Oreochromis niloticus: one gene and its partners. The protein of the gene in region 3 purifies or fractionates together with the protein of the main gene of each other region. This does not show direct contact. Links are inferred from orthologs where the notes say so. Each region holds a gene or a part of one and is shown on either strand. Other genes may lie near its edges. The genes, in order: eif2b5, eif2b3 and eif2b1.

Region 1 (9,972 bases), on a different chromosome or scaffold from region 3:
TTATGCAGGACAGCCTGACATGCTGGAGAAGGTGGAACAGGCCATCCGTGTCACCCAGAACAATGATGAATGTGTGGCGGAGACTCTAGCAGCAGCGAGGTCAGGACATCTTCCAGGCACACCAGTTTCACTTGTTTACACATATTGGATGTGAGAATTGGCTAATTAAGGGTTATTAATAACAACTTTGTTTTTAACCTGGAAACCACAATAGACTATTAGATCTGGTAATTAAAATTGGGCATAATAAGAAGTATTTGGAGCAGAGAGTATAAAAATAGGGAAGAGAACACGTTTCACATTTTAATAAACTGATCAGCCACATGAAAGCTGATTGTCTCTAAAGATCGTTCCAGTTTGGCTGCATGGTTGATTACATCTTTCTCTGTAGTGAGGCAAAATCAGAACGCATATTTAATACTGTTCTACAAAGATGTATAAAGAAAAACATAAAACGGAAATGTTCCACACTGACTTCTTTTCCCAGGTTTCTGGAACATTTCATCCTGAATGGTCCAGATCCAAAAGCCTTGGACGCGGTGCTCAATCAGCTTAATGACCCAAACAGAAAGCAGCCTCAAGATTTAGACAAAGCAGTCATCGGTACGTGAGGCCAGCAGCATATTTCCTTCCCTGTGTTAAAGTCATGAGACCGACTCATGTGATCAAAGAGTTTATTTTACCTTATTCTCTGAAGGTTCAGTTCCAATGTGACATAACGATGATAGGATAAAGAGATATGCAGAGAGTTATGTTTAGTATTTCTGTTAACATCTCATCTTATGTTTGACTCACTACTGCACCCTCTCTGCCTGATTTCAGGACACATCCACCAGGTGAAGGAGAATTTATCCAAAACTCCGCAAAAGCTGATCCCCTCTGTCTTCACAAATGCATGAGGTATCTTTGATAAGCTCCCTCAACCTCTGACATCAGTGTAGTCCTTAACAGTAACATGTGGTATAAGAGCACTATGTGTAATTTGGATAGCTGTGAGACAAACCAGGAAAAATGCCTTCATGCCATTCACATCTGCCTCTGATGTTTCAGGTTTGCCGGGTGCGTTCCAAGCCGCGCTGCACGGAGTCCTGACAGCCACTCGCTATGAGACGGCTGTCAAAGACACCATGAGCTGCGGGGGATGCACCTGCAGCAGAGGATCCTTCATAGGAGCCTGTCTTGGGGCTCAGGTGGGGCTGCCTGTTAATCTAATATATTCACGTGCACATGTTTTAAGTTTGATTTATTAAATGTTCTGTTCTCATTCTTCTAGGTCGGACTTGAGGGAATCCCGGAGTCCTGGAAGTCCAAGACCCTGCAATACGACTTGGTGTTGGAGCATGCCAAGAAGATAACCAAACACCTGTCGGCGTAATGCCTTTTAAGAAGGCTTAGAGAGAACAGTGTGACAAACTGTCGAGCTTTGACAGAACAGCGAATGATGGTTCCTGTTTAAACGTTTGGACGGCAGGAGCCAGATGTTTTTGTTTCTGTTAAAGTAAAACAGGTTGGTTCACATGTTCTGTGACAAGATATGGTAAAGATCATCATTATTATAAAAATGAATTACTATTGTAACTACTATTTCTGGGCTCTGTATATGTCATTTAAGCATTATTCATACTGACAGTGTGATTTGTGGTCCAACACAAAATATAGGAGTTTAGAGAAAAAGACTCCATGCACCACAGTTATTGCAAATGATATTTTTCCAATATCCAGTACTGCATTTATGTAGCCACAGGTTGTATCAAGAGCCCATAAACTGCAGGAAGCACATCAGAGATGTAAAGGCTATCAATAAAAAGAAAAATAATACCTGCCTTTATTTATTTTACAGTGTGCTTTTATAACTCACACATCTGTCTTTCCTTTTAGTAGTGAATGAAAATTTTCTTTGAAGCTGTAATAAACTGCTGCACTTGGCCTTCCAGTGCCAGTATCATAACATTAATAAAACATTAACAGGAGCTGATTGTATGAGTATACTGAGATTCCATGTTCCACATGGAGGTCACATTTTTCTTTTATGTCATTTTAAACTTTCAGCAGCTCAAGAGTGATTTTCATTTACACCAGATGAATATTTTGTAATCTCTTTCAAAATCTATAACCACACCAAATTAGTTAATAAAACAGGACGCTGTGTGAAATGTAATTGAACACAGAATGCACTGATTTGCAAACTGCATAAACCCACATTTTATTCACAGAACACAGAGAACATGAAATGTTTAAACTGAGAGGATGTACCATTTTAAGACAAAAATAAGGTTGTTTTAAATTTGATGACACAAGCATGAGGACAACAAAAGACTGGAAAAGTAGGTGGCACTGAAAAGAAACGGGTAGAGGAACATTTTGGAACTAATTAAGTTAGCTGGGAACAGGTCATTAACAGGACTGGAAATAAAAAGAGCATCTTAGAGAGGCAAAGCTTCTCAAGTAAAGGTGGGCAGAGGTTCACCACTATGTAAAAAAACAATTTTAAATTGTGAAACGGTTTCATTATAATTTTCATCCCAATGGCTTTGAATATCTCAGCATCTACAACTCATAATATGATCAAGAAACTGTCTTGAATTGTGTGACTGCGCTCTGAGCCGGTGGCACTGCAATAAAAACAGGCATGATTCTGTCATGGAAATCACTGTGAACACAGCTCACTGTACCATCCACAAACATAGGTTAAAATGCTGTCTTCTTGGGGCCACAGCTCCTTTGAAATTGAGTGAGACATAGTAAAAAACTGTTTTGTGGTCAGACTAATCGAAATCTCGAAGTTCTTTTTGGAAAAGAAAACAGTACTCAGTTCAAAAACCTGATTCTCCGATCAGGTCTATGAGGGTGTATTAGTGCATCTGGAACTGGTAGGCTGTACATCTGGTTCCATCAACGGAACTCTGCTACCTTAGGGCGAGAAGCGGTGAGCACCGTGGACAGGCCTGATTGAAATCATTAAGGAAATGCGCTGATGTCCCTGGTGCGGTGATGGCGGTGCTATATTTATTTCACATATACTTCACACACACACTTTGTGGCTTTTCGCTGTAAACTGTAAATTGTAATGTTAATGTAGTGAGTACACTGAATAGGAAACCCCCCCCAACAACGCATAGATGGATCGCTCATTAAATCTAACATATATATATATGTGGAAGTGGTGTTGTTTCAACTTTGCGATTTGGCACTGTTATCATACATGCGTTGTTACGCAGTGGTTTTACCTGTGCGACAACATGAGATAAAACTAGGCGCAGTGTATGTGGCCAACAAAATTTAAACTGTAATTTTCTTCACGCAAACGCTCTCGCGGGGATTGTCTGCCACTTTGCGTGCCAGCGCAATAATACTGTTAATAAAATTGTCCCGCTGCAGCTGCCGTAGCTGTGTCTGACGAAAGCGTTTAGTACCTACTACCTGGGAGTCAAACATGGCTAGTAAGGGGGGGAAACAAAGTCGGTCGGCGTCTGGCCTTTCAGGCAGAAAAGGTGCAGGAGACCAGGAGGAAGAGGACCAGCCGCTGCAGGCGGTTTTAGTCGCTGACAGCTTCAACCGGAGGTTTTTCCCAGTGACCAAAGACCAGCCGCGGGTAGGCAGTGAGCTAAGCTAACCGGAATGCTAATGGAGGCTAGCTTGTGTCCATGCTGTAAACAGTGACAGTGCATCACTCACACGGATGATGAAAGCATTTAATCAAACGACACTTGAACTCGTGCTTGTTGCTGTCTGTACAGTAGTTGATAAAATGAGAGAATCACGCGAGTCTCGTGATTGTTTAGCTCCAGTTAACTGTCACATTTTCATTGATGACAGGCGCTGCTGCCGCTGGGTAACGTTGCCATGATCGACTACACCTTGGAATTCCTCACTTCTACTGGAGTGCAGGAAACATTTGTCTTCTGCTGCTGGATGGCCAGTAAAATCAAGGCGCACTTGCAGTGAGTTTCCCTGCTGCTGCTGTGTGTGTGAGCTTTTGTTTTCTGAGGCTTACTGTATGAAAACTTATGAATATTGTGTCTGACAGGAAATCAAAGTGGTGTCGACCCAGTTCTCCAAACACTGTCCACATCATTACTTCGGACCTGTACCGCTCCCTTGGGGATGTGCTACGGGATGTTGATGCAAAGTCCCTGGTGCGCTCAGACTTTGTATTGGTTTACGGAGATGTGGTATCCAATATTGATATCAGCCAGGCTCTGCAGGAGCACAGGTAAAAGTCCACCGGCCAGCCTTTTTCTACATGAGAAATGGTGTTGATCTAAGTGTTTCCACAAGGCTGAGTTTTTGCGCACTTTAGGCATCGCCGAAAGATGGACAAGAACATCTCAGTGATGACCATGATCTTTAAAGAATCGTCGCCGGGTCACAGGTCTCGTTGTGAGGAGGACGATGTAATTGTGGCCGTGGACAGCAAGAGCCAGCAGATTTTACACTATCAGAAGACACAAGGGCTCAAGAAGCTACAGTTTCCAATGGTAAACAGTTGTATCTTTGGCAGTCTGTTATATCTTTGATGCATTTTGGGGTTTGATTGACTTTTTGAGTTTTTGTCTTACTTGCAGAATATTTTCCACAGTGGAAGCGATGAATTTGAAATCAGACATGACCTCCTGGACAGCCACATCAGTATCTGCTCCCCGCAGGTCGGTTTTGGGCCACACAGGGGAAATATTTAACTGTCATTGTTGGCTGCAGTAACATTTTTGTTTTTGGTGTCCTTTCTTTTAGGTTGCTGAGCTTTTCACTGACAATTTTGACTACCAAACTAGAGATGACTTTGTTAGAGGGCTTTTGGTCAATGAAGAGGTACTATGGAAGCATTATTATGTTGAAATTTGAATAATGGCACAAAAAAATATTTAGAGCATTTCTGACCCTTGTTCATTTTCTTTGTTTAGATTCTGGGCAACCAGATCCACGTGCATGTCACAAAGGACGGTTACGGTGTCCGAGTGTCGAACCTTCTAATGTATGACTCAGTGTCGTCTGACCTCGTGCGGCGGTGGGTCTATCCCCTGACCCCCGAGGCCAACTTCACAGACCAGGAGGGACATAGCTGCACATACTCTCGCCACAATGTCTACAGGGCATCTGGTGTCAGCCTGGGCCATGGCAGCCAGATGGAGGAGAACGTTCTTATCAGCTGCGATACCAGCATCGGTGCCAACTGTTACATCTCGAACAGTGTCATCGGTGACAACTGCATCATAGGTGAACTCTCTGGCAGCACCACTCAAAGTGCTTCAATTTTTAAGTTATAGAAGTGTAGTTAACATTTTTCTTTTATTGGTTCACTGCAATAGGTGACAATGTAGTCCTGGATCATGCCTACATCTGGAATCATGTTCACATTGCCAGTAATGTGGAGATCATCCAGTCTGTCATCTGCGACAAGGCGGAGGTCAAAGAGGGCGTGACTCTTAAGAAACAGTGTGTTCTAGCATACGATGTAAGCTCCACATCATCTTTTATATCCAATTGCAAAGCAAACTCTCTCTGGTGTCAAATTGATGTTGCATTTTAAAGGCGTTATAGCAATTTTGCATAGATTTTAAGGATATTGCATTTTGCCATCAAGACTGGCAAATTTTCCATTTTTCTTGACATTTTTTTGCTCTTTTTTTAGAGAAAACATCTGCAGATTTGACAAAAACTTTTAAAGGATCTAAAATGGCTTGTTATTACAGAAATATAACCACAGCAAATATCTGGTTCTTAACTGGATTTTGTGTAGTAGCTGTGACACTCTGGAGTCTAGTAGAGATGCCACAAATCTGGGCAAATGGGCAAAAAATAATCTGACATATATCCACTGCAATGCCACACTATGTCAGATATTGAGCAATACTGATAGAAGAATTTTGGTTTTAGTGTCTGTGCAAAGTTCAGCCAACCAGTTGGTTGCCTGTTTCCTTCATATTTAGTCTTCTGTGCTCTTTTTTATGTCCAAAAGTAGCTTTGATTTACACTAAAAGAGAATGATTTTACTAGTCTTAATCCAACTGGAAACAGGGTTTCAGATTTGGCTCACAGTCTGCTGGCTGTTGCTCCTTTGCACCTTCCTGCTGCAAAAGAGAAGTAATTACCCACAGTAGTACTACAAATATATAGCTATTGGTACACGTGCTTAGTTCAATGCATGAAATCAGGGACGTGCGTTCAGTGATCGTCTTGTAAAACGTCATCAGATATGAAGTCATATTTGCAGTATCTGCATATTTGAATGTTTCTATGAACTGTTTTACAGGTGGTAATTGGACCAAACATCTCTCTACCAGAAGGCACCGTGGTGTCTATGCACCATCCAGAGGAGGAGGAGGAGGAGGATGACGATGAATTCCTCAGTGATGACGCTGAGGTTGGCCATAGATCGGACAAAACCAAACAGAAAGGTGTGTATTATTGACAAAACAAATTTCCCACGTGTGGGACTAATAAAGGTTATCTTATCTTATCTTATCTTATCTTATTAAGTCTGTATTAGATCAGTTTATATGTTATCAAGCTGCTTGATGTGAATGTTCTCCTGTCTTCCAGTTTTCAATCCTGCAGAAGTTGGAGCAGAAGGAAAAGGCTACATCTGGAAGGCCAGCAGTCTGGATGACACAGAGGAAGAGGAGCTGTCGCAGTGTCTCTGGGGTAGAGCAGCAGTTCATCGTCATGGAACTGGCATTTCCCATGATGCTTCAGCTGAAGTCCCAGCATGCTTCTTTTCGTGTGTTCCCAGGCTTGGTGTTGAACCCAGACCCTGAGAGTGATAGTGAAGATAGTGAGACTGATGGGCCTGATGACCCGGTGATTCCTTCCCCTGAGATGGACGATGTCAAAGGTGAGAGGGCATGTCTCATTTAGGGATGATCTGATATCGTCGTGTTGGTGTTGTTCCCAGATCATCATGAAAGTGTTGTTCCAGGATCAACATTGCAAGTGACCAATCAGAATGTTGTGACGTTATTCTTTTGCGCGCCAAGCCATTCGTGCATTTATGAAATTCAAATGTTGCAAGGACAATATCAATTCTGCTTGCCGTTTATTAAAGGGTTAGGGTTAGGATTAGGGTCAGGGTCCGTTGATCGGTGGACAGAGGCGGTTTCTCGCAGCCTAAGTACAGTTTTTTGTTTTACAGCGGTTTTTCCCGAAGTCCCAAAACTATGACGTCACAGCATTCTGATTGGTCACTTGCAATGTTGATCCTGGAACAACATTTAGTATGATGTTCTGGGAACAACACCAACACGACGATATCAGATCATGCCTCATTTAGCTAGCCTGCATGTGAAACTATAATACTGCCCCCTACTGGCCCGAAATGACAACACAAACTGCAAAACCAATAATAATACTAATACATTTTTTTTCCCTTATGTAGTCTTCCACATGGAGGTGCTCGGGACCCTGCAGAGAGGTTTGGAGGAGAACATCAGCTGTGACAACCTCGTACTTGAGATCAACTCTCTAAAGTAAGGGGGAATTGACTCACACCTGTGTTGCTCCTCTTTGCAGTGATTGTTGCTTAGTTTGACATTTCCCACTCCCCCTCCAACCCCTCCTTTTCCAGGTATGCCTACAATATCAGTCTGAAAGAGGTGATGCAGATTTTAACCCGAGTGGTACTGGAGTACCCTTTCCAGCAGCAGGGCTCACATCTCACCCCTTCACAATACGTTGCTCTGCTTCTGCCGGTGAATAAGATATAGGTCTATTACTTTTAATATGACAAAACAGAAGCTCAGAAAAAAAACGAAAAACTCTTAATTATTTTCCTTCTTTTTTTCTTCTTTTTTCTTTGTGCGGCTGTCAGCTTTTGAAGAAATGGGCGCCGGTGTTTAAGAATTATGTGAAGAGAGCACAGGACCATCTAGACTGCCTGTCTGCCTTTGAGGAACACTTCCTGGAGCAGGAGAGCCACTGGGCTGCTATGGTCAAGGTCAGGAGCAATTAGCACTGATACGTGCAAAACTGCATTGTTAAAATTAATTGTTTGAATTGTTTGCTGTGTCTTTATCCAGCCTGTTAGGATGAGGATGAATATGCTGATTTGTTTGTAACTCAGGTTCTCATGAATATGTACGAGCTGGAAATCTTGGAGGAGGAAATGATACTGCGCTGGTTCTCTCAGGGAGCCACCGGTGACAAAAGCAGACAGCTCCGCAAAAACCAAGGGGTAAGTACAGTGTGAACTACAGTCTACAGGAGACAGCACAGAGCAGCAACAGAGTTTAAGCTCAGTATTCACGTTATGAACAAGTTTAGTGTAAATTTATGTATATATAAAGAAAGGAATTACAGTACTGTGCAAATGTACAGTTGAGCTACCCCCAATTTTTTTATATTTTGTTTCCAAGAGAGCCAGACATTCCTGTAATATTTTAATTGTCCAGGCTTTCTGAAAATCTTTCAGTCTTTCTTCGGACATTGGCTGCTTTTTCACTCACTTTTAGTCCAGTCCTTGTACCTGATCTTTTTCAGAGGAATCTGTTTTGTCTGTTAAGCCACTTAACACCAACCTCCTTTAGTCGATCCATCTACTGTTCATGAAGCCTCATAAGAACCTGTGTCAGTAGAAGAGTGGCTGTCAAGAAGCCACTCTTAAGGAAGTGAAACAGGGAGACAAGTCTGAGGTTTGCAAATTACACAAGAAGTGCTCTGAAAATTATTGGTGACAGATCTTACAGACTGATGAAAGCAAATTTGAAACTTTCTGGTTCACATTGTTGATAGTATGTATGCAGGTCAAGAGAGAGGTACAACAGTCAGTGTCTGCAGTCATCTGTATTACACTGTGGAGGCTCATTCATGGTTTGGAGATGCATTGCTCCCAGTGGTGTTGGAGATCTTGTCAAAATTGGTACTCTCAGATTTTGATTCCTAATACAGTAGCATCTGATAGGCAACAACTTCATCTTTCAGCATGATAATGATCCCAAATACGCTACCCAAGCAGTAAAAACACACCTGTGACTATGCTGTATCCACACCTGGAGACAAAAACATGCAGTGAAACACTATCATTATCATGGACTGGCCTCCCCAGAGCCCACATCTAACATTATTGAAGCAGTGTGGGATCATCTTGATAGTGAACAGAACAAAGGGGTGCTGTATCTGTGTTTAAGAAACAGCCTATAAACTCCTCATTTACTCACACCTGAGCACGAGTATAGCTTTATATTCACTGCCTCTGCAGTGAATATAGCTTTATATTCACTGCCTCTGCAGCAGTTTCATGGTTTCTAACAACCATTTATCCGTTTCTCTCCAACAGCTGCAGAAGTTCATCCAGTGGTTGGAAGAGGCTGAGGAGTCTTCAGAGGAGGATGGAGAGTAATGAGGAGCAGTTTAAGTTATGACAAGGTCAACTCTTACCCTTCTGCATCTAGTTACCATCCGGACGTGCTCTGTACAGCTGAAGTGGACATATTTTAATCACATTATGCCACGCCGTGTAAAGGCTGGTGTGAATGTCAGTATCCAAATAAAGGACCTGTGGTCTGCTTGGAATAAAGGGTTTTAACAAACAAGTGTGTGTTATGAGTTCAAAGTATTGGAGATGGATACAAGAGGAAAACCAAAATAACAATACTGGTCCGGCCGGGTTGAGTCAAACGATGATTTTAATGAACACACGTGTGGGAGATGGGACACTGCATGCAGACAGCATCAGATCTCAAAATGGTGGAGCATTGCTCAAACTCTTATAGCCTCTAGTGGCCCCCACCTAGTCATAAAAGCTTAAACATTCACATTCTTTCTCTCACACGGCGCCTAAGCTATGACCTTGGCTCCCTGTTTATCTGCTCCTGCTGAGATGGGGCAGAAAACCTCTCCGGTATGTTCTGTTCTCTTCTAATCAGACAAATAAGATCAAAACTCTCTGAAAACAGTATTTCTTATAACTCAGCTGTATAATGCATCATAAAACAATATCATCCATTCACAATAAATCAGCAGTCTAATGTAATGCAAATC
Region 2 (9,972 bases), on a different chromosome or scaffold from region 3:
ACACTGTAAACTGCTGGCCACACAGAATGATTATGTATAGAAAGCAACTTTTATTTAACCTAGCGCAGGCTTTTGTAATGAACAGCATGTTGCCAAAAATAAATAAATAAATACTTTATAAGGTCAGGCTTTCTGAGCCCCACTGCATGCTGCTGCACAAGAGTCAGAAAACTTGACTATAAAAAAATAGTCAGGAAATGCACACCTGACATGCTAACAATGTGTTGACAAGCTGATGGAAGTACAACTAAAACAGACCAGAACAAAATCTGACTCAATATAAAATATTTTTAATGCTGTTAACTGAGGATTTCAGTGCCAAACAAAAGCAAAACTTTCACTGATCTTAAAGAGAATAAAGCATCACAACTGGCTTTGCTTTTACATATTTAGAGTTTGAAAAGCATAACACATTTTAAAGTAACTTTTTGTTTCTTTTAGGTATTTTGAATGTTTTAACAATGGTGAAAAACATCTAACCAGTTTTAACTTCCCAGAATTTAGAGTCCAAGTAGTTGGTCAACAACTACTTGTGTAGGATAGATCTTGCTTAAAGTCTAGCATTGCATTTTATTGCTTATCCCCCAAAACAGATAATTTATTAAACACACAGCTATAGTTTGCACTTCCCTGGATTCTGCCTGACTTTAACAGTTCAAATGATGAACCAGCAATGAAAGAAATACAATTTTTTAAGTCACAGTTGACATGATTATAATCATAAAACCATTTTTGTGACCTCCTCTGACATTCTCTCTTCATTATGTCACTGCAAAAATAACTATCTCCCTTTAAGAGTGCTCACAGTTTTTACATCAGTTTTTGTATCTGTAATTTAATCCTGACAGTACTAACATTAAAAAAAGGAGTCCCCAGTTATAATAGGAGGTGAAACTATTTTTCTTATAGGTCTGAGTTTCCACTTTTTGTTCCAGACTTTCCAAGTGGGCCACATAAACTTACTGGCAGGATTTTTGCTTCTTTACATTTTATGTGGAAAGCAAGAATGACTTAGCCCCAACTTTAAGACTTCTCCCCCGCTACCACTTACACAAAGCTTACATGCAACAAATACAGTTAATGTGAGCTGTACGCAACAATATAAGACCTGATTTTATAACTTGAGATGACCTATAAAGCAACAAATATTTTCACATATTATGGACACCTAGACCTATGAATAATATTTTTAATATTCAGTATCAGCTGAAATAATAGCTGAACCAAGAGATAAAGAAGCATTATATTTATTGCTAGCTCTCACCTTCAAATCCCACCTTCTCCAGAAGGTTAAGGGGATACCACATAAGGGGCTTGTTGCCAACAGGCAGCATAGCTTTGGGGGTGTTGTATGTCAGATCAGTCATACGAGAACCCCCACCCGCCGCCATCAGCACCGCTTGAAGCTCCATGTCTGCTGTAGATGGCTAAGAGAGGAGGGGACATTGTAACTGAAAACGTATAACATACAGTACAGACCACAGGTGTAGACTTAGTGCTTCAACAAATTAATACAGCACTAGAATACTGTCTATAATATATGTGTATAACACTCTGTACATTAAAGCACAAAGTGTAAATTATGTTCATATTAACAACAATGTGAGTTACTAAATGTAAATGTACACCATGGGTAAATGGGCTATTGTACATCAGTTCAATATAGTTCATGCACAAGAACACAAACAGATCCTTGTTAAAGAAGTAAATGTCTTTTTATTACTTTAATTATTAGTTTTTAAATGCATTTATTCCTACATTTTTGTTCATTTTAAGTAAAATGTGTAAAATGTACACAAATAACATACTGATGATGCTGTGTGCCTCAGCTATATACTCCAGTCAGTCTTCCAAGTGACACTCCCTCTGCTCTAGCCTGTTTACCTTATTCAAAAAGTCTTAGCTCACACCAGCAAAGATTGCAAATTGATATTTTCTGGGCTCCAACAGAAACTAATGGCTTCATCACCCCTTCTGTCTTTTTAAACTGCCCATAGGATGTCATTCATTCAAATGACTTAAACCCTGATATGTTCAATGGATACCTGGTTTTACTGGAGGACTATGATTTAAAGTATGAATACATCCATCCATTTCTCTTCCACTTCCACTGAAGCCTATCCCAGCCGTCACAGGACATAACGCAGGGTAAACCTTGGACAGACGGCCAGTCTAACAGAAGGCTAACACAGAGACGATCAATAATGCTCACATTCACACCTACAGTCAATTTACAAACACCAATTAAGCTAACCCCATGAATATCTTCAGACTGTAGGAGGAACACAGTAAACATGAAAACTCCACACAGAAAGGCCCCAGCTGGCTAGCATACAGGAAGCTAATGACAGAAGGTTAGCAGTTTAGAGGCATTCCACACCTGCTTCAGATGTTTAGTAGTTTGTAAAATTGCAATCTGTGGTCAAGTGAATTGACACAACTGACAAGCTCTCTATGATTCATTTACTCTCAAGCCCAGTGCTCGCAAAATCACTAGCCCGACGTCCCGGGGCTAGCGAATTTTCCAGTCGGGCTACCAAAATCTATCTCAGTCCTGCCCGTCGGGCTATCATAGGAAGGAAAAATATATGTCAATGCTTTTGCATTCTTTCGGAAATGTAGCTGGATAATTACGTCATTGGCATCGGGGAGCCACTGTCAATATGTGACATATTGAAATCGCGTTTGAATTTGCGCTTGTTTTTTGCTTTCACTTTGCGATCCCGCGAACTGTGTATAGAGAGCGGCAGTACTGATTGGTGAGTGACGATTAATTGCGCACCAATTCCTCTGACATCGTCTTATCACTCATTAGCTTACTATTCAAACCTGACAAGTGAAATCTCCCACAGCAAGCTTAAACATGTGAGAGGTTGATTGCGCAGAGAATCGCTGACCGTTATGCGAGTGCGTGTGTAAAAGCAGCAGGATATATATTTTAGCTCTGCTGAGCCAAACAAGACAAGTCAGGGTGAAGAAGGGGCAGCCAAAGAAAAGCCTACCACAAAACGGAAAAGTTATGACAAATCAGACTATGAGGGAAAAAGAAAGTGCAGCTTTACGGTTTCATGGACAAAAGAATTTCTGTGGCTGGAATATGACAAGCTAAATAACCAGGGGTGCACATAAGTGGTCCGCAGGTGCGCATTCGCTGTCAAAAAAAAAATAAAAATAAATATATATGCGCACCAGATAAGAAGTTGCAACGCGCACCTCCAGATTTTCTGGAGGAGGACAGACATTTGTTTAGAACTCCTAAAGATGTCGAAGAAGCAAGCTCCTTTAAGCAATTACTTTGGTGTTCCTCCACCTCCAAAGAAATGTCAGGAGGAGTCCGAACCGCAAAAGAAGCGCGTATTCTCGGAAAAGTGGTTGCAGGAGGTGAGCTGGCTTCAAACAAATGATGAACACACAGAGATGTGGTGCAGAATATGCCGTGAAAATCCCACTCTAGCGGACAAAAACAGTGCCTTTTATATGTACGCAAACGCGCGTTGCAACTTCTTATCTGGTGCGCGTCTTTTATTTTGACAACAAATGCGCACCTGCGGACCACTTATGTGCACCCCTGTAAATAACAATGTTCTGCCGGGTGTGTTGTTGGTTTTCCCTCGATTTCTGAGTCGACAAGCGCCTTTGTTACTGGGACCAGTAATTTTAAGAAAGACCCCCATTAGAACCCATGAGAAATGCAAGAAATGCAATATTGCTCAGTCTGCAATATCTTTCCCAGAACAAACACCAATTGCAAAGAACATACTAAAAATAAACCTGAAAAATCTGTTTAGAACAGCGTACTATGTTGCAAAGAGTGAACTACCATTGGCAAAATTTAGCAGTCTTTGCAAACTTCCAAAAAAAAATGTCCTAGATCTTGGTTTCACTTATCTCTTACCCGTGACTTCAGTGGAAATTCCAAATTCAGGACCTGTCACAGACTGATTCATGTTCTACACAGTTCTTACAAGTGCATAGAAATTTCTGTTCAATTAGAACCAAGTATTTGAGTTGATGATTGTAATTTTTATACAATGTTTAATTTGTGTTTCAACAATGTTTTGATTAATGTTTTGTTTCCGTTACAATATTATACTTTAATGTATAATATTGTAACGGAAACAAAACAGGAAACAAACCATCAATCAAAAAAAAATTGCTCTCTTTTTTAATCGGGCTACTTAAATTTATTTTGGGCTACCACAAACTGAAGAGTCCCTGCCCGAAGGGCTACCAGGGATTTTGAAATTTTGCGAGCCCTGAAGCCTGTGTGACTGAACAGTGATGCTAGACGGACTTCATTTTACAAAGTTAGGACATTAATGTTAAGGATCAGTGCACTCCTACTCAAAAGACTGAAACTGTGAATTCCCTAAAATACTAGTATCATCATCATGATCATCAAGAACTGTATTTTTCTGTCTTTCATGGTATTGGCTTGATGTACTGTGTCACTAATGAGGTCTCGGTGCTGATGGATGAGCACAGGAGTCAGGCTTCTAACATTTCTGAATGTCATGATCATGCTGGCAACTAGGGCAGTGCCACATTAAAACAACCACAAAAATACCAGTGTAACTTTTACACAATATAAAAATGTCTTATCGCAAGGTTCTTGCCTTAGCAACACCATGCATTTACATTCCCTAGTGCACACGACAATGAGACAAGACTAGGCATCTCTGAGAGTGAGAGCCATTGACGGTTTATTATAAACGAAAACCATACTTTGCAAAATATCCTAGTTCCCACTAAAAGCGAAAACAACAAACATATTTCAGCACTTGGAGCAAATACACATTGCCACAGATTGTACAGATTGTACAACCAGACTATAAAGTAGAAGATACAGTGCAAATGTAAACAAACGGCTCCACCGAGGACCACTAGCTGTTCTCTAAATGCCAGGGAGAACAAACAGTGGATGGAAATTACATATGTGGTTACATGGTGGAATAAGCAGGACATTAAGCAGCTGGTTAAAAGGCTGGTGACCCAACATACAACATCCCAGAATGTAATGCTATGTAATCACTACTTCACTATCGTGCTGGTACCCGAATAGATTCACACTTCAATAAGTCACACTTCAATCAGCATTATTGTTGAGTCTTTACCTTAAAATATAAAGCACCTTGAGGCAACTGTTGCTGTGATTTGGCACTATATAAATAAAATTGAACTGAATTTAAATTAGTGTTTCATCAATGGAAAAAAAGGATGGAAATACACTTTATTTACAGTGATGCTTATGCCTGCAAGCTGCAAGCATCAATAAAACCTTGTTCAGAATTCTTTTCTATATAATCAGTAATACTGTTATTGCAAGTTTCATTAAAATACTGTGATATAATTTTGAAGTTATACCGCCCAGCCCTACTGCTTCATTCACCTTCATTCCAAGAGCATGCACAGCTTAATACCTGTTGATTGGACTCCCAATGTCTTTTTTTCCCCAAGCATTCAGTGGTATCCACCTTCAACGCCATGATACCAGTGCATCACCAACAAGTTTGCACAACTGTGCTTCATTGTATGTAAACAAGGATGCCTGTGCTTTATTGTAACGTATGGCACCTATGGTTGCCATTATGCACCACAATGAGCGAGAATGTGCTGAAAATAAGGAAAAAGAGGAGGAATCTGCATATTGTGTTTATCATGATGAAATATGACATCTAAAATCGCGCAGTTATTTGACTCCTACAGTCATAGCTTTCTTAGTCTCAGTACAGCATGTGCTTCACACAGCGCCTGCTCTAAATAACAGAGTGTACGAGTGTACGGAATGTTATATTTGCCGGGTTAGGTGTGCTGCACACACACTCGCAACAGACGGCTCAATCCAGGTCCGCTTTCACATATCTTTTATATCTACCATGTCATCGCTGTAGTAACCACTAGCGCCAAACTGGCATGTGTGCTCAGGACATACCCTGTTGACCGAGTGCACACCCATCCTTTAAAAATCAGTTTGAATTAAGAATTAATTCAAAGCCGAAGCAGTGAGATATAAAACTTTACCTACCTGTCAGAATCCCTCCGAGCTGTTCGGCTGCCTCGAAATGACAGCGGTGCAAGACGCATGTAACTTACTTGCCGTCAGTGTTGTTAGCACTCGGCTAAGGACTAGCAGCGAGCAGTAAACGATGCCGCTTTTTCAGAGATAGATTACAACCAACCGGACACGTTTCTGAAAACCGACATGTAACTTAAATACAAGTAAATAACAGATATTTGATTTCTCGCTAAATAATTTAACAGTAATTACGCAAAAGACGCTAAGCAACTAGCATTTTAATGATGACACCTGCGTGCCTTTAGTGAAATGCGTCCGTGCGGGAAACTACTTCCTCTGTAATATGGTTCCGATCAGAGAATAGGAGAAAAACTAGACCATGATTTGTCATAGACTGAAGTTTTTTACAGACAAGAGGAAAAGGAGGAATGGGTATGGTTGAGAAGAACAGATCTGTTTAAGAAGAAAAAAAAAACTTCACTCTGCTAGGGTATAATATCATCATGCTGGCAAGCTAAACTATGATTTATACTAAATTAATTTTCCGAGTGATGATGATGATAATTGTTTTACATTATTAAAGAGATAAAGAAGATTCTTTTTTTTAAAGCTGTGGTACCAGGAATTACAAATGTTCACACATAGTAAAAATGTGAGCAGATTAGCGGCCAGAAGCCAAACAGCTACTCCTTTAGACTTAAAGCTTAGAAAAATCCCAATTCACAGAGCTGAGACGTAACAGCAAATTGAGCTCGGGGAATGTGGCTCTGGTTTTGTTTGCTCTGGCCAGGAGATGAGCTTGACTGCTCGTTACTGCCTGCTCAAAGCCAGGCAAGCACGAGAAGGGAGGGAAGAAGGAGAGAAAAAGAAAACAACAAAGAGACGAAGAGGCCTGACTGCCTGTTGTTGCCCAAACACCATAATGCCGAAACTATTGAATGCAATTTCTCCACCGTGAATGGTGATTGCTGAAAAAGTGGGTGTCCAGCTGCATTTGCTGTCTGTGATTTTTCATTGTCTTGGCTGAGTATTGCTAAACATCAGTTGAGGTCTAAGTCAGATAAGCAGCGCAGAAGAGCCATGTAGACAAATAACAAAAGAACAAACTCTAAAATCAAACAATCCCATATGCTATTTATCTTATAAAAGCATACTTTAACTGACATATGATCATTTCTGTTTATCATCTTCTGAAGCCTGCAAGGTGTTGTCAGTATGCAGGTGGCATCTTTGTCAGTTCATACAAAGGAATCTAGGAAAACAATAATAAAAAGGCCACAGTAAAAGTCAAATAAAGACCACAAAGATTACTTAACTTAGCTGGTTAACCACAGGGAGCTGAAGTGTGTGAGACATTAGAGAACTTGGCTAGTTACAAGAAAAGCTCAAACAGCAAGATAGCAAACATGTCTAAAAGGATATCAAAGTTGTTTTTTGTTTGTTTGTTTGTTCTTGTAATAATAATAATAAACGGGGTTAGTACAGAAGTTTTTTGTGTGATGTCATCTGCACAATACTTGAGTTTTCCTCTATAGTGGATGTGATATCCTTGTGATGGTGTTGTTCTTGAGTCATAATAATGTTGTGTTGTAAAAACTTTGGAATGTGGTGGGAAAACAAAAAAGTGTTTGTTTACATAAACTCTCTTCTGGAATAAATGGTAAGTGTTTTAGTTTTTAATAGCAATAGATAACTTCTTGGCTAATGCTAACTGATTGCTCAGACAATGTGATTGGCCAGTTGATGAGATGTGCATGTGTTTTATGCTAAGTTACGTATTACTTAAAAATTTAATTAAGTACAAAGATCTTACATGGCTCAGCTTCTCTCCTCCTCCCCTCAGACATCAATGTTTCTTGCTTATCCTTTCCATACTTCTACATTCATATTCATTTTTCTTTATATTATTGCTTTTCAAGGTTATTAAAGATCTCAATAACTGTCATTTTAATCTCTCTATTTTTAATGCAGCTTTGACCGACTATAGAAAAAAAGGAAGCTTTTCAGCAAACTCTGGTTTGCTTGCAGAAAGGTTTCTAATAGGCTTTGTCATCATATACTGCCCTAAGGATATCCTTCCATACACATAGAGAAAATGCTATTGAACAATCTCTCTCTTCATTTAGCATGTTCATTGTAAGGAGGAGCCCTACAGAGACACACTGTAGGGCTTCTTTGATATATGTGGGGAAAACGGGGGAGAAGAAAACAGAATTGAAAAATGAGGCAAAGAGGAATCACATGTAAATTAAAAAATTCCCCGAGCGTATGTATTTTACATATTTTCAAAATACGCTTTATTTGTCAGAAATGAAGACATCCGACTGAGCGGTTAGAGGAAGACAAAATGAAAAAAGGTCCAAAACAGAATGCCACAACTCCGAGACAGAACCAGATGGGGATATGCATGCAAACAGACATGGAGACAGTCGTGCAGGTCTAATCGTTGAGTGACTTGAAATGGAGCCCTAAGATTTCCTCTGATTTCCTCTCCCTCCTTGGCTCTGTTGCAGCATCTTGTAAATCATTCTCAGTTCACTGAAACAAGCCAGTTGGATTAGCTTGGTTTAGATCATAAACATTTGTAGCACAGACCACCCAGCGAGAGAACAGAGCCAAGGCGAGAGTCTGTGTGAGTGTACATGCATGGGTGTGTTTGTGTGTGTGTTTGAAGCCTCCCTCTGAGTTTAGAGGTGGGTACTGCAGAACATACAAAGTCACACATGCGCACACACACAAACGCACACACACACACGCACACACGCACACACATACTTATACTGTGGTTTGTGTTTGCTCCACTTCCAGGGCCAGTGCTCTGTGGGGCCCTTACCACTGCTATGGAAACTAAAACCGGCACGTTCGCCCAGTCAGTGTCAGAGATGAACGCACATGCTCGCAGTTCAAAGATTAAGATGTCTCACTGTGGCAGCGATGCAGAAACTGTTTTACATTCCTTCGGTGATGTGATTAGTTTTTTTCTACTAATTTACTGCGAATGCACTTTCGTTTATTGCATGCTAAAAACCTCCCTCTTGTTATGAAATACTTCACAAGATCCATTGTCACTGTTTTATTGGACTGAAACCCAGAATGCAAATTTGTTCATCATCAGCCTCAAAACCAGCTGTGAAATGTTATATGTCAAACAACTGTGATATAAAGTGTGTTTTTTGGGGACTCGCAAATAAATGTCATTTTTTTTCACCTGACATTCAACAGTCTGCGTCACTAGACCTTGAAATTCATTCCTTTTCACTTGAACACAGTTGGAGTAATTCTCTTCTTGTTTCTCTCTGCTTTCAGGAGGGATCTGAGAGCCAAGCTGGTGTCAGAACCAGGAAATATCTGGGTTGGGTTTTGAGAAGCCAGAGTGGGAAAAGCTGGACAACTCCCTGCTGCAGGGCGCTGGCACTTTTCTCTGTAAGATGCTGTTTGAGGGTCTCTATAACCCATCTGACTGTGCATGTTATCCATTTGCATCCCTCCCTGTTGAGCTACAATACTGGCAATTGTTGTCTATCGCTCTGCCACATTTTCCATTACGAGACTCCGTATTTACTCAATTATAAGACAATTCCTTTTTTCTGAAAATTAAATGTAAAATAGTTGTGGTCTTCATGAGTCTGAGGGTAAATGCTGGATCTTCGGTAACAGAGTATAGCAGCTGTTGAAAGTGAAATGATTATATTTTTAAAAAGCGTGCTGCAAACGCAAAGGCTGTCATTGTCAAGTTTGTAAAGGCCTTTCTCAATCGTCTCTGTGCGATAAAGGCTGTACAGGAAGGCTGTTTTGAAGATCTACTAAGGTGGTAACAAAGGAAGATTAATATAGACTTATACAGGAAAAGTGCTAATGGAAGAGGGAGGATTTTGCAAGAAGAAAGGAGAGAGTTTGCCCATATCATTTGAACTGCAGCTCGCTGTCTGCGTCTGTGTGTCTTTGCTTGGCCACAT
Region 3 (9,972 bases):
TGGTGAAAAAGTCTGTCTTTAAGAGTGTGGTTAGAAAAGTCAGAAGTTAGTGAGGGTGGCCTCTGCCTTTACAGCTATCCTTGGATAAAACTGGAAACTATTCTAATGGTCGTTAATTCATTATTGATATATACTGAGGTGTCAGAGGTTGTCAAATATCATCATCATAATCTAAGAACGAAAGTGTTTTAGATTAATGTCGAAATATCCCAGTATATAATAGTGGCTTTAATAAATACCTGCCATTATATCTTAATTGCCCCTTGGGGATAAATAAAGTCTTTCTGATTCTGATTCTGATTCTATAGCAGACAGGAAAAGACCATGGCGATGTGCCCATTTACATATGTGACACAGTTACTGTGGTACTGTCACAGTTACTGAAAGCAATATAAAACTGATGAAGGTGTGCAGACAGGATATATGATGTGTAATAGTCGAATGAGGTAAAGTTGCCACTCTGCTCCTTAAACAAATAGCAGTGCATCACTGATCATGTTATTATTTTGAGCCTGTGTCACCTACAAAATACAAGTAAAACCCCTTGAAAAGCATAATTATTATTTTAACTGAACTGTGACTGAAATAGTAACCGGTTGTATAAACCTCTACTTCATTAATGATCGGAGAAGTCTTTCATGTTTTCCGACTTGTTGTTTTTCAGGCAGATTTTACTTATCGGTGGCAGTAACCCAGCAGAGGATGTGGAGAAGTTCAAGGATAAAGGGTATGTGATGATCTGAGGGCCTTTCCACCAACACACAACTGGCACAGTTTTTCAGCTGGACTGAAATATATCCATTATAAGCACAATGATCCACAACCTTGTTCTGTTAAGAAGTAAAAATTGGGCTGTGTTAATGAAATTAGTTTTTCTGAATGGTTCTTCATATCAATGGACCCAGGAGTATTATATCAAAACCTCCTGTGCTATCCATCACAGAATCACGTTAAAAACATCCAGACCTCTTGAATTTGTGCATCTGTGTCTCAGAGCAAACATTGTGATTGCGACACCGGGACGCCTCGAAGATATGTTCAGGAGAAAGTCTGATGGTCTGGACTTGGCCAGCTCAGTTAAGAGCCTGGATGTGCTGGTTCTAGATGAGGCCGACAGACTGCTTGACATGGGATTTGAGGCTAGGTATGGAAAAACTCTTTAACATTTATTGTTTTCAATGCCAGAAGAAATTATGCTGAGGCCTATAGCACCTCTTCAGAAAGCAACACAAATGCATTTGGGCTATGGGGATTGACTCAGTTTTGAAAAAAGGTCTAGTGACTGTTAGAGGAACTGCAGTTTTTTTGTGCTTCACTGCTGGTGAAGTCCAATGTTAAAGCACAGAGCATGCCAATAAGAACTATCCAAATACTTTGTGTGTTTGAATTTTGTAGTGCGTTTTAACTCGTTATAGGTAACAGTCTGTATTTGTGTATCCAGTCTAAACACCATCTTAGGTTACCTGCCTAAGCAGAGACGTACAGGCTTGTTTTCAGCCACTCAGACCCAGGAGCTGGAGAAGCTGGTGAGGGCCGGCCTCCGGAACCCCGTACGGATCACCGTCAAAGAGAAAGGCCTGGCCGCTGCTGCCACCGCCCAGAAAACCCCTTCCAGGCTTTCCAACTACTACACTGTGAGAGAATCAGCAGTGCAGTGCCTTTATTTATTTATTTATTTATTTATTTATTCATTAAAGTAGAAAAGTGTAGCAATGAAACAAAAAATCTCATGCTTATATTTCAGATTTGTAGAGCAGAGGACAAGTTCAACAACCTGGTGGCTTTCCTGAGGCAGCACAAGCATGAGAAGCTTCTGGTCTTCTTTAGGTAAGTTAAAGTGGTGCACAAAAAAACTTGGTAGCTTTCAACTTTGCTTGTGTGTTGTGCGAACCACTAGACTGCAAACTCATTGTCATGACAACAGTTTCTTTTATTGGAAAATGTTTTTCTCCGTGACATGTCCGATTAGGTCTGTTATGACATAATTCGTTGTCATCTCGTCGTCAGTACCTGTGCTTGTGTGGAGTATTATGGTCGAGTTCTAGAGATGTTGGTCAAGAAGGTCACCATCCACTGCATCCACGGCAAGATGAAACATAAACGCAACAGTATCTTTGCTGACTTTCGGAAACTAAAAAGGTAAAATTCAGTTTGTCTGTACAGGTACAGTATTATAGCTGTTTTGGGAGGGGGTTTGTACATCATTTTTTTGCTTGGGTGTCATGCAGTGGGATCTTGGTGTGCACAGACGTGATGGCCAGAGGCATCGATATCCCTGATGTTAACTGGGTGCTGCAGTATGATCCTCCCAGCAGTGCCAGGTGAGTCAGTACTGACTACATAACTGGATCTTTTGCTCACTGTATGCACCTCTTGTTTTTGCATTTTATTTATTTCATTTATTTATTCATTTGGTCTGACTCAGTGCCTTTGTACATCGATGTGGGCGAACAGCAAGAATTGGTAATTATGGCGATGCACTTGTCTTCCTGCTTCCAATGGAGGAAACCTATGTTAACTTCCTGTCCATCAATCAGAAGGTGAGTTCAGCAGAAACTGAAAGTGATCAGTAACTTTTCACACCGGCTCTCTGCTCTGGTTGCTCCTAACCGAGAGTCTGTACTATGAAGCAAGTTCAGCATACTTGGGACCTCTTTTAATTGTATGGTTCACTTACTCAGAACATCAGCAGTCAGGTTAGGTGATCACATGATCGCGAGGACTATGTAAGTAAACAACCTCAGTGTCACAGCTCCTTCATTGCATATTTGTAATTTGTTCAGTTGTATGAAGCAATGTGTTTTTTTAAATGGTCTTCCCCCAACATTTAAGAAAATGTAAGCCTCCTTTCACCTGCATTCTCAGTAGTGTTAAATGATCTGTAGGCAAGTAATGTCCCACACCTTTAAAAATCCAACACAAGTACAGGGTTTAAGTGTACTAGGATTATATCTTTATATGAAAGCTTAGAATTATTTAAAAATTGCTTGCAACCAAAAGGGGAAAACAGAAATAAATTTGCTGTTGATAATATTTACATCTAAAAGTACACATTTTTGCATGTTTTGGTTTCTGACAGCTGGTCCGTCACATTATTGTCCCCCCAAAAACACTTCCATTATGTTTTGTGATTTATTTTTTCTGCTTCCATTGTGTGTTATTCAACTTCTATTGTGTTTTCTGTGTTTTTGAGGAGTGTGTTTGACATCTCAGGGCCACTGTGGAACATAGATATGACTTTGAGATGTTCTGACTTTTAATATACAATTTGTCATTTTTTGTTATATTTTCATTTTTCAAATTTAACTGTAGTCACTCTTACTTTTTCATTTCAGGTAATAAGTTCCATCAAATTGCAAAGGAAATTCTTGGAAATATTTTTTCCCATTCACAGCTAAATTCTTCGGAAAACTATAAGGTGCACAATATAGAACCTGCAATATACAAATCTCATCTTGTTCATCTACTCTCCAGTGTCCACTCCAGAAGATGTCCCCAATAAAAGACGTGGTGGATGTACTGCCAAAAGTGAAGGCCATGGCTCTGGAGGACCGGGCCATGTTCGAAAGAGGGAAGAAAGCATTTGTCTCGTACGTCCAGGCCTACGCCAAACATGAATGTAGCCTCATCTTCAGGACCAAAGGTTAAAACAATAAATCAATCAATCAGCAAGCACACATGTAGAGCATCCTAAATATTATTCAAATACATATTTGTTGTACCCACAAACAGACAAATGTAAATTTGTGTCACATTTCCAATGTATAGATCTGGATTTTGGCTGCTTGGCTCGTGGCTTTGCACTTCTTCGCCTGCCCAGGATGCCTGAACTGAAGGACAAAACGTTTCCTGATTTCATTGAGACGACAGTGGACACAGACACCATCCGTTACAAAGACAAGAACAGGGAGAAACAGAGACAGAAAGCACTGGCCGAGCTTAAAGACAAGACTCCCTTCCCTAAAAAGAACTTTGTAAAAAATAAGGCCTGGTCTAAACAGAAGGGCAAGAAGGAACGCAGGCAAAAGATGGCAGCCAAGAGAAAGCATAACGAGGTATTTCCGTTCACTCATCATTAATGGTTAGATGAATTAAAAACATCTGATGACTACACTTTTAACTCTTGTGTTTCTGCAGGATTCAGATGTGGATGATGAAGACCTGAAAGAGCTTTTAGATGACACTCGTCTCCTCAAGAAACTAAAGAAAGGCCAAATCAGTGAGGAGGACTTTGAGCAACAGATAACAAGTGGAGCAAAGTCGAAAGACAAAACAGAAGAACCGTAACAGTTTGGAAGAAGACAATGGACAATATAACAGCTGTTCAGATGTATCCACCAGAGTTGAATTAAATCTCTGACACATTTCGTTTTTGTTTGTAGTTTTTATTGGAGAATTGTGAAGCAGTTATAAATAAAGTTTGATGAGTTCATCGCTGACTGCAGATGGGGTAAGGACTCCCAGGTCAGTGAAGAGGAGGGTGATGAGGGAGGGAGGTGTGTAATCAATAATTGGATGTTCTTCTGACAGGTTCTTTGCGGTCTTCAGGGTGTCTGCTTTGTACTGTTGAGCCCCAAAAAAGATATGTAAGGAAAACTTCTGAATATAAAATAAGGGGGGGGGAGAGAAAAAGAAAATCTGTACAGTCATACCTTAAATTTTTCTGGCACGTCCTGTTGGTTGAGCGGGTACAGACGTACGAATTTGAAACTCTCTGCCACGACGTAGAAGGGTTTGTTGTGTGCTTTGGAGCACAAAGCCATCTGATAAGTGCCGATCTGCAAGAGCAAAACACCAAAGTCTATTATTGTATCACAAGCAGTGTCACATTTATCACTTTTAGGGTGAACAGAGTGCAACCCGAGTCACAATTTTAAAATGTCCCATAAAGTTACAGTTTTAAACAGACTGTATATCAGGGATCTCAAACTCGTATATTGAGGTGAACAAATAAAATAGAATTTGGCCCTTGAAGTTACTTTTTTTGTTAGAGAGGATTTATTTGTTGTTGAGTGCAATGTTTAAAAAGCAAAAAATTATTTAATATGGAGGCAATATGAGCAGGAAGAACATGTTGAGAGAATGGCTTTGTTAGTTCAGTGGGAGAGTTATTTGTAAAGAAAACAATTTTCACTAGCAGTCAAAAACTAATGTGTACAATTATGTCTGTATTTTTATTTTGTTAAATACGAACAAAATTATAGCAGTGCTGACACGTGGTCAGAAAGAGTCAATTTGGTAGTTCAGTGAAAGGCTTCAGTTAAGAGTGAGAACTTTTTTTTTGTCTTGTTATACAATATTTGACAAAAAAAAACAAAACCAAAACACAACTCTACATTTTCAGAAATATTTGTGGGTGTTTTCTTGCTTGTTTGGGTTTTTTTTGTAGTACTAAAACTCTAAAGTGGCCCTCAAATGAGATGACAGTCCCAGCAGTGGCCCACAGCTCTTTTAAGATTAAGACCCCTGCTGTATATTAAAGATGTAGCTGCCATGATATCGCTGAGGCATCATTGGTTAGCGAAGTCCTGTTATGAAGCCCCAAACTAAACATTTTCATTGTCTCCATGTTGGTGTCTTAAAACAAACTATATATGAAAAGTGAGCAGTCACACAGTAAAGCATGCCCTGATTTTTCAGGACATTGATGGAGACCATAATTTATAAAATGATCAGAATACAACACAGAGAACCCTGTGCTGTAACTTGACATGCATCATGTTACAAATGTAACTACAGATCACCTTCAACACACTTGTTTTATCATAAAGCGTCATTTATGGTTAGCCTAGACTACAAAATGCTTTGATGTATGGTTTGGAGTTGATGGCACTAACAAAAAAAATAATTAAACAAAAACAGGTGGCCAAGAGAGGCCCAAAGAAGAAGCAATAGCCAGCATTTTGACACTGATTTGAATTAGATTCAATTGAAGAGCATCTGAGTTTTTACTGGAACACACCTTATTGATGATCCCACCACTCTCCACAACTCCCTCAGCACCAACGATGACTAGATCCACTTTTTCCAAGACGTATCTGTAAAGAATGACAAAAAATACAAAACTAATGCAAATGACATTGACAAGAGACATGACATTAAAATCAGATATTATTAACATCTGTATCCACCCCACAGCTGCATCCAGCACGACCGTTACTGGAACATTGAGTTTCCTCAGGGCTTCTGCCATGTGTTGCCTGAATAAAAAAAAGAACATAAATAAGCCTGTGTCGTTTCAGAGTAAGACTAGAATACAGTATATAGACTGCTCCCTCACCCAGCTGCGTCAGGCTGCGATTCAGTCACATAGACAGAGAATCGTTTCTTCTCAGCTGCAGCTTTTTCCAGCACCCTGAGGACAACTCTGGAGTAGGAGTGAGTCAGGATTTTCTGAGAGAGACAAGGAGAGGCCAGGGAGAAGGAAAAAAAAAATGCATCACTGAACCTTTTCCCTGTAAAGAGCAAGAATTAGGTTGTGTTCCGTACTTACAGCGCCATCTTTAATAAAGGTGTGACAGAGCTTGGCGACCTTGGTCCTTGACATGGAGATCTTCTCTAAAAATAGTTCTCCTCTCTCCTCCATCACCTTCTTACAGCGAGACAGGTCCTGAAAAAAATAAATGTTAGCATCTGCCTTGGATTAAGATAACAGGTCTGATCATGCAAACATACGGTGCAGCCTCTTTAAATCTAGCCAATCTCCATAGCAGTTCCAGCAAAACTGCTATTTCTAAGTTCCTCCTAATGTGCTTTCTTCTAAAATCTTGCACTTTTGCATCTACAATGTGTGCTAGAACTAATTTGATTTAAATTTCTTTTTGGGAAGGAGAATGATGTTCCAAAATTGACAATGTGACATTTGGACAATGTGTGTAACATTTGGAAGCCATTTCTTTGAATTCGGAATATAGAGTCAGAGAAGATCTCAAAGCAACTTACACAGGCCATCCCTAGTCAGCAAAAAACAAGCACATCACAAAGATCGCAAGAAAGTTGCAAACTGCTGAAAGTTTGGTCAAATGAAACTAAGAACAACCTGCAGTAGAAAGGAGAGAACAAAGCACAGAAGCTTTGGAATGTCTTATAATCTGAGACAAATAACAGCCTCAATAAAACATGGTGGAAGCAGCAAATGGGAGGGGTGTGCTTGGCTTCCAGTGTTCCAAGGTCACTAATTTTTATAAGTGATGTGAAAAACAGACAGAGCTGAATGCATACTGAGGTGTGCAGAGCTATCATGTCTGCTTACAGCAAAAAAAACCAGTCATATCCAGCAAAGTCCCACAATGATCCAAAATACACTCTAAAAGTAGCGCTGGAGTTTTTGATGGTCAGGAAATGGAATATCCTGAAGCTGTTGGGTCAATCACGTTGTCTTAACCTGATCAAACTGTGTTTCACTCACTGAAGACAAAACAAAATACAGAACCATAAACAAACAGTAACTAAAGACAGATGCAGTAATGGCCTGGCAAACGTCATGAAGGACGAAATACATTCTTTGGTGATGTCTGTAAGTTCCAGGCTTCAACCAGCCATCAGCTGCAGAAGAGTACGAAAAATAATCACAACTATTTTCCAATTGTGACACCTCCACCTAACAGTTTTTTCTTTACTTTGATGATATTTGTTCTCCTATATGAACCATAACTTTGCTGTAGAACTGCAGTGTCTCTTTTAATAAAGTTCTTTCGAGAACAGTAGCACTTGCACAGCATCCATAAGGTCTGACTCGATAACATACAACAGATCTGGTAGCACTCTGATGATTTCACTCAAGTTATTCACGCTTAATTTTGTTCAATGTTTAAATCTCCAACGCCAAACTGTCTTCACTCACCTGGTGCTCCAGAGATGTGAGGCTTATGAAGCGCAAGAAGAGCTCCCCTCCCGAGGAAACGGCCACAGAGGAGTCCACTCCTGTCAGGCAGTCTGTGGCTGACGTAAGGCTCTCCCTCAGCCCCAGGATTGTTTCGCCTGAAGGGGAAGAGACAGCTTTGTAGTTCCTAGTAGTTCCTTACAGTGCTCTTTCAAATCTGTGAAATCTTTATTTTATTTATGGTAGAAAAAAATAATAATTCTTTTTAAAACTGGATCTCCAAAAGTTGAATCTGTTCATCTGGACGTAGCGTTTTGTGGGAGAAACGTTTCGTCACTCATCCAAGTGACTTCTTCAGTCTCAGCTGACTGCAGGTTTCCCCAAATCTTATAAACAGTACATTTGCTGTTTATAAGATTTAAAACTGGACTTGACATCTGGGCTTCAGTAGCTTCAGTAACTTTTTAAAGCACTGTTTCAGATATTTGAAACACTCTAGATGCTGTTTTCAGATCTTGGCCCACATAATTATCCCAGAGAAACTACAAAAAAAACTATTTACAAATTGAGAAAACACAAAAAGGCTAAATTTCAGGTCTTCTTCTCCACATCCAAGCGAGAATAAGAAAAAGCCGAGACGTGTCTGTATTAACACCAAGGGCATAACACTAACCTTTATCTCTCTTGAGGAATTCAAGCAAAGTGCGGATGGCAGCAACAGCAGAGGCCATGTCCGGGTCTTTCCTCATCTGATCCCTGAAATACTCCACCAGCTCTGTCCCAAGGCACAGAGATATGCAGTTAATATTTCTAACACAAAAAAGCAGAAATTTATTTTTAAAATCAAGCAATTTACCTTCGTTGTTCATCCTGAAAGCAACAACAGCGCCTAAAAGCAAACCACAGAAGATTTCTACAGGTTTCAGTCAGTGCACTCTTTCTGACACATGCCAGAGCGGCTGACTCCGCTCACTATCTCCTTCTTTCAAACGAAAATATTCACAGCGCTCGAAATATTGTTTTAAGTCAGCCCCACTCTGAATGTAAGCAAAAACCTACTGAACACTGTCTAAAAGTTGCTCCTGTCACTATTTCCAACTTACACACCATTAGCTCATCCTGCAAAAGGCAGGTTGACGTGTCGCAGAGTAATGACGTAGGACAAAAACGTCTCCCAGACGCCGTGCCGTTCACGTGAAGTTGGAAATGTGATTTTTTCTTTTCTTCTTTTTTCTTTCATTCGTTTATTTGTTTCTTTGTTTTCTGTTTTTGTTTGTTTGTTTTTATAAACCACAACAAATGGCAAAGTGACCGTAGTGGCAAGATTCAAAATGATGCAAATAGCTCATATTGTAACCTCAAAAGGAAAGAAAATAACAGCAAAGATTGTAAAATAGTAACATAGTAATGCAGAATCTCCACAAAGTGAATGAAATGACCATAAATCAACAACAGAGAGATAGAAATTTCTATTAAAACATATAAATCCTAAAGAGATTCACTTACCTATAACGGGAGACAACCAGACCATATGAGAGTCAGAGACAAAACAACTGGTGAGAAACCATTTGAACTTTGTATTGGTATCAGATCCATCCATGTTCATGAACAGTAAAGCACAGACATCTAATAAGTAAGTTGCTTATTCCATTCTGTAATGTAACTGAAAGGAAATATAAGTGTTTCTTATTCTAGTGTCCTCTGGGCATAGTGGGCATGAAGAGGTACAAGAGCATAAAACAAAGTTTATTATGAAATATGTCTTCATACCAGCAGTTATAATATAATAACATTTACACATTAATTAACATTTACAATAATTATGTACCTTAATAGAACTACACTGCAATATTACGGGTCATTTATGAAATTAAGTATACTGCTTACACAGGGTGAAGTGTCAACACATACTTTCGATATTGTTCTATAATTCAACTTCCAGTTAATCTTGATACGTTTCACAGCCTCAAATATAGCTAAATAGCTCCCAAACCTTTAACCTGTACCACAGTATATGAACTAAAAATGTAAACACCGATACACATAACAAAATACATATTTTAAAATGTTAATGAATTAAATTAAACTTGATAATTAATGTCAGTAATGATTTTTAGTGGGCTCACTTGGCTTTAATGGCTTATAAGCAC

The links.
Region 1: the proteins of eif2b1 (region 3) and eif2b5 purify together in Homo sapiens (affinity purification with mass spectrometry; 7 studies listed by BioGRID and IntAct, counting the BioPlex papers as one, with this or other methods). This does not show direct contact. The link is inferred for Oreochromis niloticus from reciprocal best matches to the Homo sapiens genes EIF2B1 and EIF2B5.
Region 2: the proteins of eif2b1 (region 3) and eif2b3 purify together in Homo sapiens (affinity purification with mass spectrometry; 7 studies listed by BioGRID and IntAct, counting the BioPlex papers as one, with this or other methods). This does not show direct contact. The link is inferred for Oreochromis niloticus from reciprocal best matches to the Homo sapiens genes EIF2B1 and EIF2B3.

The regions. Positions count from the first base shown.
Region 1 is NC_031982.2:7,151,911-7,161,882, forward strand, and holds eif2b5 (translation initiation factor eIF2B subunit epsilon), read left to right. Parts: upstream 1-3,210; 5' UTR 3,211-3,433; coding exon 3,434-3,592; intron 3,593-3,816; coding exon 3,817-3,941; intron 3,942-4,027; coding exon 4,028-4,213; intron 4,214-4,300; coding exon 4,301-4,478; intron 4,479-4,565; coding exon 4,566-4,646; intron 4,647-4,731; coding exon 4,732-4,809; intron 4,810-4,901; coding exon 4,902-5,214; intron 5,215-5,306; coding exon 5,307-5,452; intron 5,453-6,250; coding exon 6,251-6,395; intron 6,396-6,540; coding exon 6,541-6,642; intron 6,643-6,730; coding exon 6,731-6,832; intron 6,833-7,372; coding exon 7,373-7,463; intron 7,464-7,561; coding exon 7,562-7,685; intron 7,686-7,804; coding exon 7,805-7,930; intron 7,931-8,056; coding exon 8,057-8,167; intron 8,168-9,268; coding exon 9,269-9,331; 3' UTR 9,332-9,524; downstream 9,525-9,972. UniProt on the Homo sapiens protein: Acts as a component of the translation initiation factor 2B (eIF2B) complex, which catalyzes the exchange of GDP for GTP on eukaryotic initiation factor 2 (eIF2) gamma subunit.
Region 2 is NC_031982.2:15,474,138-15,484,109, forward strand, and holds the start of eif2b3 (translation initiation factor eIF2B subunit gamma), read right to left. Parts: upstream 6,334-9,972; 5' UTR 6,026-6,333; intron 1,428-6,025; 5' UTR 1,413-1,427; coding exon 1,265-1,412; intron 1-1,264. UniProt on the Homo sapiens protein: Acts as a component of the translation initiation factor 2B (eIF2B) complex, which catalyzes the exchange of GDP for GTP on the eukaryotic initiation factor 2 (eIF2) complex gamma subunit.
Region 3 is NC_031972.2:11,326,106-11,336,077, forward strand, and holds eif2b1 (translation initiation factor eIF2B subunit alpha), read right to left. Parts: upstream 8,991-9,972; 5' UTR 8,692-8,990; coding exon 8,679-8,691; intron 8,598-8,678; coding exon 8,496-8,597; intron 7,981-8,495; coding exon 7,844-7,980; intron 6,611-7,843; coding exon 6,494-6,610; intron 6,394-6,493; coding exon 6,281-6,393; intron 6,201-6,280; coding exon 6,132-6,200; intron 6,039-6,131; coding exon 5,963-6,038; intron 4,779-5,962; coding exon 4,653-4,778; intron 4,564-4,652; coding exon 4,408-4,563; 3' UTR 4,365-4,407; downstream 1-4,364. Other genes in the region: ATP-dependent RNA helicase DDX55, read left to right, coding at 665-727, 995-1,144, 1,442-1,634, 1,745-1,827, 2,008-2,139, 2,229-2,321, 2,426-2,540, 3,475-3,643 and 2 more.